Rhinolophus ferrumequinum: one gene and its partner. The protein of the gene in region 1 interacts with the protein of each later gene in a pairwise test. Links are inferred from orthologs where the notes say so. Each region holds a gene or a part of one and is shown on either strand. Other genes may lie near its edges.

Evidence for each region.
Region 2: the proteins of MPPED2 (region 1) and CAGE1 interact in binary tests that used the Homo sapiens proteins (3 or more experiments, as listed by UniProt). The two-hybrid records come from large-scale screens. The link is inferred for Rhinolophus ferrumequinum from reciprocal best matches to the Homo sapiens genes MPPED2 and CAGE1.

What each region holds. Positions count from the first base shown.
Region 1 is NC_046294.1:26,508,862-26,516,297, reverse strand, and holds the start of MPPED2 (metallophosphoesterase MPPED2), read right to left. Parts: upstream 3,345-7,436; 5' UTR 3,206-3,344; intron 2,976-3,205; exon of another isoform or gene 2,495-2,975; intron 1,778-2,494; exon of another isoform or gene 1,637-1,777; intron 1,141-1,636; exon of another isoform or gene 924-1,140; intron 707-923; exon of another isoform or gene 589-706; intron 1-588. UniProt on the Homo sapiens protein: Displays low metallophosphoesterase activity (in vitro). May play a role in the development of the nervous system.
Region 2 is NC_046292.1:86,548,908-86,557,334, reverse strand, and holds the start of CAGE1 (cancer-associated gene 1 protein), read right to left. Parts: upstream 3,267-8,427; 5' UTR 3,128-3,266; intron 1-3,127. Other genes in the region: RIOK1 (serine/threonine-protein kinase RIO1), read left to right, coding at 4,355-4,425, 7,441-7,654.

The sequences.
Region 1 (7,436 bases):
AAAAAAATCATGTGAGCACATTTTGCATTTCCTAGACAGCAATCACTTCTCCTGTCCCTTAAGCTGTGCAATTTGCATGTTTTTTTTTTTCAAGGAATCTAGTTGGAAAACCTTTTAAAGTTTGTTGGCAATGAAAGGATTAAAAGCCGGGGAATTAAATAACTGTCTCCACCTCCTAAACGCCAGAAGTCCAATTTACCAAAAGTTTCAAAGCAACAACTCATGACCTCTCTACCGGAGCACCGCACGGCATAGCCTATGAGAAAGGGGCCCGTGATTTCCTCGTTTAAACAAGGATGCTCATTTTATTCACTTGCCCTAAGAAGATCGCCAGACCGCCTGTCCAGACTTTAGAACTCGCGGGTTCCAACTTCGCCAAATGTCGCTCCCCTCCCTCTGCCGCACAGATCGAGTGATTTGTCAGCTCCCGCCCCTACTCTTTTATGTCCACCTCCAGTTACACATCCCTGCATCCCGGAGCGATGCTTACAAGCCTTCCCGGCAGCTTCTCTGCCAGGGATTTTGGAGGGATGTACAAAGTTCCACGTGCCTCTGTCCATACAGCGCCCTCCCTCCCGCCGCACTTACACCTGAACTTGTCTCCAGCACTGCGGACACCCGGCTGGCACATTCTTTCGGAGAGGAAGGGCAGCACTTTCCTCCCGCGCCTCGGGCTATCCGTAGAGTCTATATATGGTGGGGCGGGGGGCGCGGAATTCTCTACTTTGGATTGGTGTGTTTGTTTTAAATCGGGTGTGGGGGGTGGGCTTCGCCAACTACACACACACACACACACACACACACACACACACACACACACGAGCGCGCGCGCGCGCGCGCTCGCCCTGCCCTCCCGGCTCACGGCCGTCTGGTCCCGGCTACAGCTCCCCCTTCCTTCCTAGAGCACCACCAGCTCGCCTTACTCGCTCAGTCCCCGGTTGCCACTGCCGTCGCCGCCGCTGCCGCCGCCGCTGCTGGCACTGCTGGGGCTGACGCTCACGGCCCCGGGCTCCGCTGGGCGCCTGTCTTTCTTTCTCTCCCTCTCCCCCAGCCCCGGATTGATTGATGACCAACGGCGGCCAATAGCTCTGACACCGCGCCATCCTCGCAGAGGCATCGTAGCCCCACGCCCCCGACGTCAGCCTCCCGGGCGCGTTGGCATCTCCGAACCCTCAGAGCGGAGCCCGCGCCCGGAGCCGCCGCGGTCGCCTCCCGGCTCTCCGCCCGGGAGCAGCCGGGCTGCTTCCCTGGAACGGCAGAGAAAGGAAGGGAGGGAGCCAGCGAGGGTTGAAAGGGGGTGTGGAGGCCACGGATCCCACCCCCCTTGGAAATCTTTTCTTTCACTTAAAGTTTTGTTTGTGTTTTCCACCCTGACCTGTTTGTGTTTGTTTGCAGCATCTCAAATCAAGTACACATTTTTCATGACCTGCATTTGCACTTAATTTGGGATTTGTTGAAGGGGAGGTAAATGTGCTCTAAATCTACCCCCAATAGGGCATCCTTAATTTCTTTTCTTGCTGTTAGATTCTACCCTCCTCCCCAATCTCCAGGGGGGAAAATGCCCCCTTCACCTCCTAGGCCGCAAAACCCTGGAATTCAAAGGCTTCACAAAGATAACCCTGTTACATGTAAATACCAAAGAACTCCTGCTTCTCTCCAGAAGAAATCGGCCGCAAGGGTTACTTTTTCTCGCTGCTCGTATCCCCGCCGCCCAGCCGGAGTCTCTAGCTCGCTCCGTAGGCTACGATCGTGAAGACCCGAGACCGCAGGAGAGAGCGAGGTCTGGGCGCGGGGACAGGGTCAGAAAAGCCCGGCGCGAGAGCCGCGCGCGAGCGCGGGCGGCCCCGGGGGCGGCCGTGGAGCGCAGCCCCAGCACAAAGCTGCGCGGCGCCTTCCCGGCCACCGCACCTCTCTCCGGCCGCCGCGGGCGCCTGGGGCTCGGGCCAACACAATGCACCCGGGCCTAGGCCGGGGCGGCTCGAACACATAACCCCGGGACTTTCTAGTAAACAGCTCGCCGTGCCCTCGTCCCAACCCCCATTCCCGCCACTTGGCTTTTGCCGCTGCCCCTCGCCGACACCCTCTCCTCCGCTCCTAAGAAATCCCGGCGGAGGAGGGGGCGGGGATGTGGAGACCCCGAGAGGTCGGGGGCCGAGGACTGGGGGGAGGGGAGAAGAGCAGAAGGGCAAGATGGGGAGTGGGAGGGAGATAGCACCTAAAAAAGAATTAGCTTTCGCTCGGGGGGTAGAAAATAAGCCCTCCTCGGGTTCCGAATTGTTGGGGAAGTGCCCGCTCGTGCGAATGTCAGGGACATCGGGGCAGCCGCGGTCCGCAGCCAGGGAGCCCCCCGCACGCGCCTGTGACAAGGCACCTCTCACCCGGGCTCCGCTTTGTGTGTGTGCATTTTTTTCCCTTCCTCTCGCGCTCGGCACCGGGCGCCCGGCCTCCTCCTCCCCCTCCCCCGCCCTCCGCCTCCTTTCCCGGGGCGGATTACCTTTCCCGGGCTGCGCTCCGGGTCCCGGGGATGCCTTCAGCGCCCGGCAAGCAGGCGATCCATCGCGGAGCCGGCGGGAGGCGCGCCGGGGGCGCGCGGGGCTGGCGAGGGGCGCGGGTGGGCCAGAACCTTCGACCTCGGAGGTCCCGCGGCGGGCTGGGGCGGGGGGCCGGGGGCGCGGCGTGAGAAGGAGGCGGGGGGGAGAAAAGACGAGAGCAACCTCGATCTGTGGAGAGAGCGAGCGAGGGGGCGAGGAGAGGGAGCGAGGGCGCGGCGAGCCGGAGGGAGCGTGAGCGGTGCAGTGACAGGGACCGCCACTGGGGTCAAAGGAGCACAGCTCCAGGAAGCCAGGCGGCCGAAGCGCCGCTCCTTGCGCGCTCCCCAGCAGGACCCCGCGCCCCGGCGCGTTGCTCCTGCAGCCCCGGCCCACTCGAACCCCCGCCGGCGCCCCGAGGCCCCTGGGTTGCAAGAGGAGGAGGGAACTGAGGGCGAGGCCGGCAGCCTGCTGGTGCTCCCGGGTCAAGCAGGCGGCAGGAAGCTGAGCTGCAAGTTCATCATCATGAGTGTGATCAGCGTAAAAATGATAGGGGACCGGGGAGGGGGTGCTACGGAGCCCCAGGACAATAAAGGGAGTTTTCCCTCCAAATGGGCGTCTTCTGAAAAAGAGAATACCCAGCCCCCCCAACCACCCCCTTACCCCAACCCACCGACCTGTCAGGCGCTGTATGAAGTCCTGGCACAGCTCCAGGGCGCAAAGCTCGTGGCTGGAGCAGGGCAAGGGGCTGGGGCACTCAGCTCAGACCAAAAAAGGCGACCCTGGGTTCCCTCCCATCTGCTGAGCTTAGGCTTTCCTGGGGGAGAGCTCTGCTCCCTTTTCTTAAGCCTTTCAACTCACCAGATACACACACACACACACACACACACACACACACACACACCCTTTTCTTTCTGTAATGTTGTTCCTGAGAAAGAAAAGGCCAACCCAGCTGATAATTTCTTTCACCTCCATGAATTATGTACGGCAGGTTTAGGATAGGGAGGTGAGGAGAGGCAGACTCTAACTGTTTTCATTTTGTCTTTGGGGCACATTTCCCCAAAAGATAAGCCCTTCAAAAACGTTTTAGAAATCAAAGTTAGTTCCCTTTTCTCTGCTACTTTGGATAATGGGGGGGGGGAAAGGTTTTCAGAATTGTATGCAAACGACATACGCAAAGGGAACTACACTGAAATGCTAGAGGACAGAAGACTAGGAAGAGAAGGCTTTTAGAAAACTTGGTTGGCAAGGCTTCCTGTGAAAGATGAGGTGGCCCTGTGATGTTATGCCATTGTCAGAACTGAAGGATTTGGACGGCAACCAGATCTAATTCCTTTCCAGGAGTCAGACTCAAAGATCTAGGCATTCTCCAAAGGAAAATCCAATGGATGTGTTTGTGAGTGAGAAGTGTGCTAAGTATACTATGTGACAACTGACTAGACATCCTGGCTGAAATTATATCTCCTAAAAATAAAAAGGAGCCATTTCAACTTGATCTGTGGCCTCCGTGCTGAGACTAATTGGTTTCCAGGGTCTGAGGAGGAAGGGAGAGAGGCTGGTAGGAGCCCCTATAAAAAAAAAAAGATCAAACGGAATTCACTTGAAAATATTTCCCTTTTACAATAGGCTTTCCTGGCACTTGAATTTTAAGTAACCTATCTCTTATGCCTGGGCTGAAATGAAGGGGGAAATGGTTTTGCTAATGTATTTATTTTGTTGTACAGTATGCCCAGAGTGTCGGTACTTGTTAAATGGATTGGGATCAAGGGACGGTGACTACCCTTGCCCAGCACAAATCACAGCAAGTGGCATTGACATTAAAGAATGCCAAAGATGGGGTGGGAATATCTTTTTATTTTGTTTTCCAGCCCAGCAGCAAACACTGACTAGAATCATGTTTTTGAAGAAATGTTTGGTTTTGTTCCCCTTTTTCTATGAATTAGTTAGCAGCATACTTCTCTTAATCTAAATGGGTTGAGTTTTTAGACTGATTTGGGATGATTTAATCAGTCCTCCTCTCCCCGCCACCCTTCAAAAACAAACAAACAAAATTCTGCACCGGTCAAATAACTTCTGTGGTTTTCTAACTTCTGTTCTAAAAAGTAACAGGCAGTCAATCAATACATTCATACTAGTTTGTACATGATCCTAAATCTATGTGCACAGACAGTAAATAATAACGTGGCACATTTTGCAGGATATATAATGCTATAAAAAATCAAGCAAGTGATCCTTTACAAAGTTGACGAAAATTTGTATATCATTTTGCTCACTGGGGAAAAATTGAGGCACAAAAAAGCTTAAAATTGTAACTTGTACTGAAGGAAGAAGTAACTCAGCCTCTACAGGGTCCCTACTGATCAATTATACACTGACAGTGGCAGTGACCAAGCTGTATGAGGGTTCTGAAATTCTATTTCCATTAGGTTACCAAAAGAAAGAAGCTGGAGAAATATAAGTGAATTTAAATGGTAAATCAGAAACAAAAGGAATTCACTTTTCAAATAATTCTCATTACATGGATTTGAACATATTGCATTTTATTAAATCATATTCTCTACCAATATAGCTACCTACACTAAAAGCTTGTTTTAAAATGATTGGATGTGAACCATGTCTGTCCCCTGACATCAGCTTTGAAACATTGAGCCTCATTATATCAAATTTTAAATGTTATACGCTGGGACTTTTTATTTTTTTAAAGATAAGTGAGCCTGTGAGCTCCATTTTTTGTTATTGTTGTTAAATTCAATTTTTATTGCTTATAATGGAAAGCAGAAGAAGGATAAAAACCAAATGTTAAGTTTATGATTGCCTCTATGTAAATACTACAAATTTTTTTTTCTTTAATGGAATGTAAATCTGGACCCTTTCTCCAGTGATTTCATAGAAGGACCTGGCAAATATGATTCCTGATAGCCTGCTGCAATCTTTTAAAAATATCTTTTCAGAATGCGTTTTGGGAAGAAAATGAGAGAGGAACATGAGAGAACTTTACGTGGAAGCTTGGAAAGTGAATGTTGTGTCCTTTGAAAGATTAATACTTTATTTGGACTTGGCTTTTATTCTCCCTGTAACAGGTTTTTCAGTAATTCAGGGATACTTTGTGTATAACTTAAAATTTGATTCAATCTTGTGGTTCTTAAAAAAACAAAGTCATTGAAACTATTACATTTCACTAAGTAATTTCAGTGAAATGAAATTATATATCCCAATCTAATTTAGAGACAGCTAGGAACAAACAGCAGCTATTTTACCTATTGTTTTTCTTTAAATTGTCTGCATTTTTATCATTTTCCAGAAAAGGCTAAGATATATATTATGAAAAATCAGAGCCTTTTAATGGAACTATTATTATGACGCTATTAGGAAATAATCTGAGCCAACAAGCACCTTTATTCTAAATTCCTACAGTTTTTAATTTTTTGATTTGTTTAAAATGTTTTCATTGTACCTCTTTCAAGTTTAAGAACTATACCCTATATTCCTTTGTGTCCTTCATTCTTATGTGCTATGCACATAGTAGAAACTTGGAAATACTTGTTAAACAATTGTATGAGTCAATAAGTGAGGAAGTGAGTAAGAGAATGCATGAGTGAATGAGGCAACTACACAATGAAGGAAAATCCATACTAGATATACAGGAACAGAAGTGATGTCATGAGGCCAGTGTCAGAGGGTAAGACTAAAGACTTTCCATGGAGTTCAAATAGCACATTTAGCAGGGTTTGCTAATGCCTTTAGAAATATGAAAAAATACATAAGACTGTTTCCGAAGTTGATTTTCTCATTGAGAAACTGAAGATTGTTATGTATCACATCCATTTAAAGTCACCTTTTTTTTAAAATGCAGTAGGATGATAAAAAAAAAAAATCCAGAGTAAAATTTATATCTTAAAATTTACAGGAAAAATGTACCAAGATATAGACTTAAAAAAAAAAACAAAACTGTATGATTAACATGATCTTTTTTGAAGTCCTCAAAATAAATATATAAATCACGTTTTTAGCCCTTTGTATTTAAAATTTCCTGTTGGTTAAATAAAAATGTTTATGGCTAAAGAAGATTCAGGAAGCACTAGAACTGATAAATTTTATTTCATAAAATAAATTATATAGGTATCATCTTAGAAAGACTAAATTTGATCCAGCTTTGCCAGCAACTTAAAAACTACAGAGTGAAAATATCAAAATTATGCAAAATTCACTATTTCTTACCATACTTACTAACCAATATCTAGTACATATCAAAAAAATCAGACAAGTATTATTTATGTAATAATAATTTTAATAATTTTTAAAATCTGAATGAGATGCTAAGCATATGTTAGTGTGTTTTCCATCCTAACAGACTCGCATGATCTGTGTTATAAATTAATATAGGCTGAGTTTTTCTCCATATCATGGTTCCAACTCTGGAAAAGTGATAGAATTTAGTGGTACTTGGGATAGACTTGTCATGGTGGAAGAACATGCTCATTGTCGTAAAAGCCAAAGTAATCTCTTTTGAAATATGGGAAGTGTGGAAAACCCATAATAACCTGATTTAAAAAAATGTTGTGGGAGTTTTCAAATTTAATAATTCAATTTGACAAGTTAGTATAAGATATATCAATATTTTGAGTAAGCAGTATATAATGTAATTTTCCTTTTCAGCAAAAATAAATGAATGAATACATTTTCTAAAAAATATATAAATAAAATGAGTTTGAGAGACCAGCAGAACCTAAAACCCAATTTTCTCTATATTATTTAATGTGATGGTTCTATTATTCAACAAATATTTTTTTAAGCTCTGCTCTGTGCCAGGCAGAGTACTTAAACCATACTGATGGTATAATGATGAAAAAAGCAGAGTTGTCCTTCACATTATGAAGTTTGTAATCTCATGAACCTTGGGAGAGACTG
Region 2 (8,427 bases), on another chromosome or scaffold:
TGAAATCTAATTCTTATAAATATAAATATATAAAAATTCATGTAGGGTTTATTCTCAAAGTTAACTTCATGTAATCTAAGATGAAAGGGCTTATTAAGTAAATTAATAGTATAAATAAGACAGTAAGAAAAATATTTTAGATGTTTAAAGAAAACATTGGTTTAATCATGAGTAGTATACCAAATATGTGGACCTAAATGATACTCTAAAAAAGTTCATATCTCTCAGTAAAGTCAGCTGGTTACAAACCTCTATTCAATATGCTTTTTATAGCATTGTTCCACTTATTGAATGTATCTGAAGTACAGTAAGAACTGAATTATATTTTATAGCAATCTGTCTTTTAGACTTGTTGCTAATTCAGACCATTCCTCTCCTAATTAGATTTTAAAGCATCAAGAATAATATACTTGAAAAATAAAATAGCACTATTCACATGCATTGATGTTTAGACAGACTTCTGACTCCACTAATCATCAAATTTCAGAGATCACTTCTAACTCTAGTCTTCTATAACATTACTGTGTTTAACTGAAATATGCCTTTTGTTTCTTAGGTCTATAAATTTTTTATAAAGAATAAAATGGTCAGTGAAATCCAAGAGGGAGGACCTCCTTACGTAAATAATTTAAGACATTCATTCTTTATAATTCAGTACATAGTATCTTGGGCCCTGATTAACCTCATAATACTATGACCAAAATATTTTTTCAAAATGAAAAGTTTTTTATAATTATAAAAATGAATCTTGAACATTGTTTAAAAAAGAAAGTGAAAAACACTCAAAAGTCTTCTGCCTAGTGAGAAGCAATGTGACCATATTTCCAGGTCAACAAATATGTATCTGTATTATCATATTTAAGGTTTACATATCCACTGTACATATATACGATAATTTAACTAGTCCCCTACTGATGAAAATTTAGGTTGTTTCCAATGTTAGCTGTGAATTATTCTGCAAATATCTCACTTGTATACTTCCTGGGGCAAAATTAACAACAAAATGTGCAGTTAAGCTCTGGATTTCCTAGCATTAAACAGCCTTTTAGAAAGATTATGTGAATTTATGGGCTGAACCACATGAATTGTCAATATTTGTCTGGTTTTGAACTACAAAAAGGTAATTTTATGTGGCAAACCTAATAGATTCCTATTATTTCCCTACACTCTTGCTTAATAATTGTCAAATATTTAGAATGACATTCATGAAGATCCTGGGACATAAAAATCTCTTTTATTTTGTGACAAACAGCACTAGGAATTTTCATGCAGACAGGAAGTCATTTACATGGCACTGTCAATGTCATTATGAACATGTGAATCATTTGCATGCTGACATAGTGGAAAATGCTCTAGACCAGATGTCAGGCTCCTTGGGTTCTTGTCCTGACTCTGTGACTGAGTTGTTGCGGCAATGTCCCCTGGCTGTACTCATGGGACTTCACGAAGAGACTAGGAAGGGTCAGTTTTAATACTCTCTGTATGTAAAATTCTCACCCTTCTTTGTATACTAGTGGAACTGGGAAAACCAGACCCTGTGTTCCCGTCTTCTATGCTTCCGTTAGAGATTCTTTCATTGTTCCTAGTAATTTTGAAGACATTTCATATGGAAAACAATGTGAATGCTAAATACGTCTGTACCTCCCAGAACTTTTAAGTACTGCACACCTGAGGCAAGTCTCAAGTAGTACTGCTGGCTTCCATTTAGAAGGGAGAATTTGAGTGAGTTAAGTCTTGAGAAAGACTTCTGAATTCATGGCATCTGCTTCTGCCATGCTTTCTAATTTTTATGAAAAGCATCCACTTCAAAATGTACAGTATTGTATCTGAAGTGATGACCAAACTTTCTGATAGTCCTTGCTCCTAACTGTTGAGTGATGGAAGGTCTCTTTAAAAAACATAATTTTAATGTCTATTAGTATATGCAAACAGAAAACTCCCCCCCCACCCCCATCCTTCCTCACATTAAGAAAGCAGCAAAGTTCACTGTCCTAAATTTTAAAATGTCATTTGTCAAGTTATTGGAAAAATAAAAAATTTTAGCCTGAATATACCATGGTAACTTTGTATGGTAGTAATACTAATTCGGACAAAAGCAAATCAATATGTGTGGCTACTATCCAATAATTAACCTAAAAGATGTGGGTACTGAGGAGATGAAGGGATCTCTAAGTTACTTAATCAAAAAATATTCACAAAATATTACCAGATACCTACCATTAGGTTCCATCAACACTGTATTTCTATTTACTTGACAATCGCTATTAGAATACCTCATTATCAAGTTAAATCCAACAATGTAAATTAATTTTCCCTCACCTCCTAATGCCACATTCTCTCAGGCACTCGGGTTTCAAAACCTGGCGTCCTTCTATCTCATTATCCATGAGCTATTCAGTTACCAATTCCTGTCCATTTCTCTTTTAAAAATGTTTTTATAACTCATGCTTTCTTCCCATCCCTTATGTCAACACACTGGTCCATATTCTTGTGACCCCTCAAGTCTGTCAGGGGGATCGAGGTGGATAGGATGTCCAATCACGCTGACTTCAAATTCTTCTGCTTGACTTTCTAGGTCTTCCGTAGCCTGAACCCACATTACCTACCCAGTACTCCTGCTCAGCCTCACTTCTTTGCAAATAGATCGTGTTCCTTTTCGGTAGTCTGCCCTGGCAAGTGCTTCTCTCTCCTAAAACTTCTTTACCTACCCAATCATCTATTTTTTTAAAAGTTCCTACAAGGTCTTTAGTCTAAATCTCTATCTCACAATTCAGCACCTATTCATTTTACTGTTTTAATCTTCACCATTGTTTCAAGGGTATCAGTGTTTGTATTTACTGATTATACATACTTTGAGAAGTCCACTTATGGTTTTTCCATACACCCTACATCAAACAGACCAGTGTTGTCCAGAGTATTCACTAAATCCTGCACTCCAATGAATTATTTCTATTAAACCATCTCAATCTAGTCACTACCCATTTGCCTGGATTACTTTATTGAATTATTAAATTAATAATTTACTGAGGAATTTTTTTTTTCCAAATTTATGTCATCCTCAATATTAAAAAGCCACTGAGCTAAGCAGGCTATTCAGGATTGGAGATTGGCCCAACTTTATGCTTACCTTCTCCGTTTTCCAAACACATAAATGCTGTCTGTGTTGTGGTGATGGGGATCTGAAAAATCCTTGTTTTGCCTTTTCCAAATGCAAAAAACGCAAGGGCCTTATTTCTTAAATTTGCCTGTGAACCCAGAACTTCCAACTACACTTTTACAACTTTGTTCACACGGCCCCATCTGCCAGTTGTATATTTTTTTAAGTTAGGCTTACTGTTGCCATCTTTCATTCTGCCCTTACGAGATTTATATTAGATTTTTAAAATATTTATTGAAATGTTTCGAGAGATATTCCAGAGACACTCTAAAGCTGTTTTAAGATGGGTGTTAAAAGAGGTGTCCCTGGAGTTACTGGCCAAAACTCCAAGGTTTTGTTTTTAAATTCTTTTCAGTTGTATGACAAACTTCAATATTCTAAAAGCACTTAACTCATTTTCATCTCAAAACAATGCACCAAACTCTTTAAGTCGCAAAAGCGTGCTCACTTCCAGGGTCCATGCAGTTTCGTGGATCCACAATAAGGATTTCGTGCTTCCTCCCCGCGCAATAGGTTTTGTGGGAGGGAGAACACTTTTCAACCTTTTCCACGGATGGCTCTTAAAAACTCGCAGCTGGGATGCAGGCGCGCTGGAACGTCCCAGTGTGACGTCCGCCCGCCCGCGCCAGCCAATGTCGGCGGGGAAGCCTGCGGGGCTCCCGCGCTCCCCGCGGGCGCGGCCTAGGGGCTTCGAAGTCTCTCTGCCAGATTTGGGAAATTCTGTGGGTGTGAGCCCCCAGGCCAAACAATCTGTGGGCTGGCTGGCGCGTCCTTCTGCGGCAGGAAACACAAAGCGAGGTGCAGGAACTAAAACTCCAGATGGAACGGCCGGCGCTGGCTCAGCGAGAACAGCATCTCAAGGCCGCCTAACATTTCGATGTATCGCTGTCACGTACACTTCCGCGCAAGCTCCAAGCTCTCAACCCGGCACCGGGGCGGGACTTCCGGTAGGCCAAGCTTTCCGGTAGGGGCGGGGCCTCCGGTTGAGCGCAGGCCACAGTGCAAAGGCTGTGGATCCTAATTCCTCAAAGCACGTGGCGCTCACTTTTGGTGTGAGGGCTTCTGAGTGGTTTGCGAGGCGGCCATCTGCGGAGAGGCTGTTGGGTCGGCCGCACATAGAACCGTCTCTGTGCGGTTCCTGACCCATCGCTGGGCGGGCGGGCGGCCTTCGGTGGCGCTGAAACTGCGCTCTCGGTCATGGACTACCGGCGGCTGCTGATGAGTCGGGTAGTGCCCGGGCAGTTCGACGACGCGGATTCCTCCGACAGGTAGACGGCGGTGGAGTACACCGACTTTGTTGGGATTTTGCTCTCTCTTCCGCCACCGCTCCGTCGGGGAGTTAACACTTGTTTGTGGTTTAGGGGGAGACTGGTAATTCATCACTCGGGGCCTCTTTTTACAGCGTTTTGCGTCTTCGTCCATCCCAGCAGTGACTGTCGTCCCAGTTTACGGCAATCAATGACAGCCACTTGTCAAGGTAGTCCAGGGCTCCCAGGTTGGTTGGTTAGCATCGCTGAGAGGCAGAGATGGGGATAGCGATTGGGAAACAGGTTTTTGAGCTTTAATTACATTCAGTGTTCAAAAAATATGTGAGCACCTAATGTGTGCCAGGTTCTGCCCTCGGCGCTGGAGCTAGTGATGAACAAGACAAACTAAGTCCCTACTGTCATTGAATTTTACTTTCTACTTGGGAGGGTGGGTAGGCAATTGAGTACATAGCGGTATTTAAAAAACAAAAACCAGATAATAATATATACTGTGCAGATAATTAAAATCAGTTGATAGGCCAAGTTATGATTTGGTCAGGAAGGGGTTAAGTCCAGAACTGAACAAGAATAATGGGCTAACCTAGGGAAGAGCAGAGAGAAGAGCCATTCAGGAAGAGGGGACAGCACTTGCAAAGTCCCAGCAGTGAGATCCCTCTTGGCTGTAAAAGGAAGATTTAGAGGTAATTGTGCCTAGAGCACTGCAGAGGTACTTGAGAAGATTAGTGGGTAAACAATATATAAGTGAGAAGGGGCCAGATCGTATAGAGCCTTACAAATGATGGTAAGGAACTGAGATATTATTCTAGGTCTTATAGAAAGCCATAGGAAGGATTTTAGCAGGGAAATGACATCTGATTTACGATTTAAAGGAATTACTCTGCTATGGAGAGGATGGTTTTGGAGGGCAAGAGTGGAAGCCGTTCAAAAGTAATGAAGTAATTCAGTTCAAAGATGGTGAGAGTTAGAGATAGGACCATAGGGATATGTTTTGGAGGTAGAAGTGACAGTTTGGTGGTAGATTGCATGTGAGGTATGAAACAAAAGGAATTAAGGATAACTTTTACTTGAAAGCAGAATGAACCAGAATTATTTTGGAATTCCCCCCCCCCAAAAAAAATACGGTTTTTACTTTATGTTTACATTAAGGTTTCATTACATGGCCATTTTATTAAGCAATTGGAGATTTTTAGTAAATATATGTTGATGGCTTTCGATGTGTCAGATATAGTGTTAGTTGGTAGGGATATGTTAGTAAACCACTCTGACACAGAGATTCGCTCTAGCAGGGGAAACATATTAAATAATTAGACAAATGATTTGTATTAGAAAGTAGTACAAAGGAGAAGTGGGTGAAGAATAGGGTAGACTTCCCTGAGCAAGTGATAGTAAGCTAATACTGGAAGGATAAGTAGGATTTAGTCAGAGAAATGAGAAGGGCATTCCAGATTTATGTTTACAGCTGAGTATGCAAAAGACCTTAGGGAAGAAGTTAAGGGAAAAAAGAAACAGCCTATGTGACTGGTGCATAGTTAATGGTAATGAGTGTACACTGGTTTATTATCCATCACTGGATATTATAAAGGTAATCCAATAGATGTTGCCTCCGCCCTCGCCCCCCACCCCCACCCCGGCCTTGGGACTTTGGGCAATTTCTGGAGACATTTTTGTTTGTCACAACTGGGGATGGTAATACACTAGTGGCATCTGGTAGGTGGAGGCTAGAGATGCTGCTAAAAATCCTATAAGGTACAAGACAACCTCCCACAACAAAGAATTGTCCACCGAGGTTGAGAAGCCCTAGTACAATTGAAGGCATAACTTTAACATGCCACTCTAGGTTATTGGCAAATGAATGATCAATTTATGGATTATGTTTATAAAATCCTAGTAAATAGCAGCTGCCTAATGTTTGTTCTCTTCCCACCCATGTCCATGGAGATTTGGAGTCCTGTAAGCCATGGCTAATTAATAAGTCAGGATTGGGGCGCCGGTTAGCTCAGTTGGTTAGAACGCGGTGCTCTTAACAACAAGGTTGCGGGTTCCATCCCTACATGGGCCTTTGTAAGCTGCGCCCTCCACAACTAGATTGAAACAACTACTTGACTTGGAACTGATGGGTCCTGGAAAAACACACTTAAAAAAAAAATTCAGGATTGATCATCTGAATTTACTTAGACTCACATCTGACTTTTTAAGCTGGTAGTGCATATTATCAATTGTTTTATATGGTTTCTGACCTTGTTCTCCATATGAGAGGTCAAAACTAGTAGTACCTCTGTTGAATCTGACCTGCACACATATTTCGTTTGGCATGCACAGTATTTTGTTAAAATTGAATATGCCAGTTAACGGGGAGATTTCACACAAAAATCCAGATTTCTGGCTCTTGAAAAACTAAGAAGATATGGTAACACTGGGTCTGAATTCTCATATGGCAAAAACAGACCCTATCGTGCTCTCTCTACTTGGGGCTTGTCTCTAGGTTTGACAATCCCCACTTCTGTTTAATTATACCCAGCCTACTTCTCTCATTCGTGGTGCTTATAGTCACCATTCCTTGTGTAACACAAATCTATAATAGAGCTCCTTTTGTTGTAAAGTGGTGTTGAGTTCAAGGTAAGGCTGCTTTAGACTTATTCCCAAGTTTTGTCAGAAAATTTTTTTCCCCCTCTTAACACAGCTCTGAATGGTTTTCGTAGAGTCAGGTCTGGCGTACTGATCAGAGTTCAGTGCATTCAGCAGAGACAGTAACAATATAAATTCTGACTTCATGAATGCAGAGGTGGATTTAACCTGATACACCTCTTTAACAGGACCTGGAGAATAAGCAAACAACAAGTGGAACAACTCTGAAAAACAGGAGAACTTGGTGTTATGATGGAGTTTATTGGGAGATATGTTGAAAGGGAAACGTTTAGATTTATTGGCATAGATTAAGCTATTATGTCATAAATAAATTCATACGTAAGTCCAATTAGAGTATGTATAAACACACTAAAACATTGTTATTTCTAGTGAAAACATTGACTTGAAGACAATCAAAGAGGAAGATGGTGTTCTGTTTGAAGATCTTCAAAATAATGAGAAGATGGGTGAAGGTGAGATAGAAGAGGAGGAGGAGGAGGAGGAGGAGGAAGAAGATTATGATGATGATGATGGTTGGGACTGGGATGATGGAGTTGGAAAACTCACCAAGGGTTGTATGTCGATTGGAAGGAGTAACCCACAGGTATTTTATAAATGATTCTGTACATCTTTATGTTGTTTGCTTATGTCTTCTTGTATAAAGGGACTTTTTGTAGTTCTGGAATTGAGTAACAAAGATTTTCTTCAGGTTATAAGTAAATTTTAAAAGTTACTTAAATTGTCATAAGATAATGCACTTAAAAATCTGCATATGAAAAGACACAAACAGGCAGTTTTCTACAAATGGTTAAGAAACATAGAGAAAAAGTTCAAGTTTATTAGTAATTAAAGAAATGCAGATTAACTATGTAGAGATGGATGCCATTTTTTCCGCCTCTGAAACTAACATAGACACAAAATATATAACTGATGGTTCACTAAATACATACAGTTATTTGGAGGATAAACTGGTATGTGATAAAAGCTTTAAAAGCTTACAAAATAAACACTTTGACTCAGCAAGTCTTTTAGGAGTGTACCAAGACTTAGTTACAAGAATGATCCTCCAGTATTGTTTCTAGTAGAGAAATGTTGGAAACAACGTTGACTAAATTTACCATGGGGTTGGTTTGTATAATGGGATATTATGCAGCCATAAAATGGGTTACAGTGGAAGACTATATTCATGACATGGAGATATGTTCATGATCTACCATCTTGGACCACGTGCTAAGCACAAGGTAACAAGCCATGTAGAGCCTGCTCGCACTGAAATACCAAGTGTTCCAGAGCCATAGGATTAACGTGGTGCATCTTACTGGAGCATAAATGTTGTTGAAAGGATAGGGAGGGGGAAGAAAATCATAAATGTTTCTT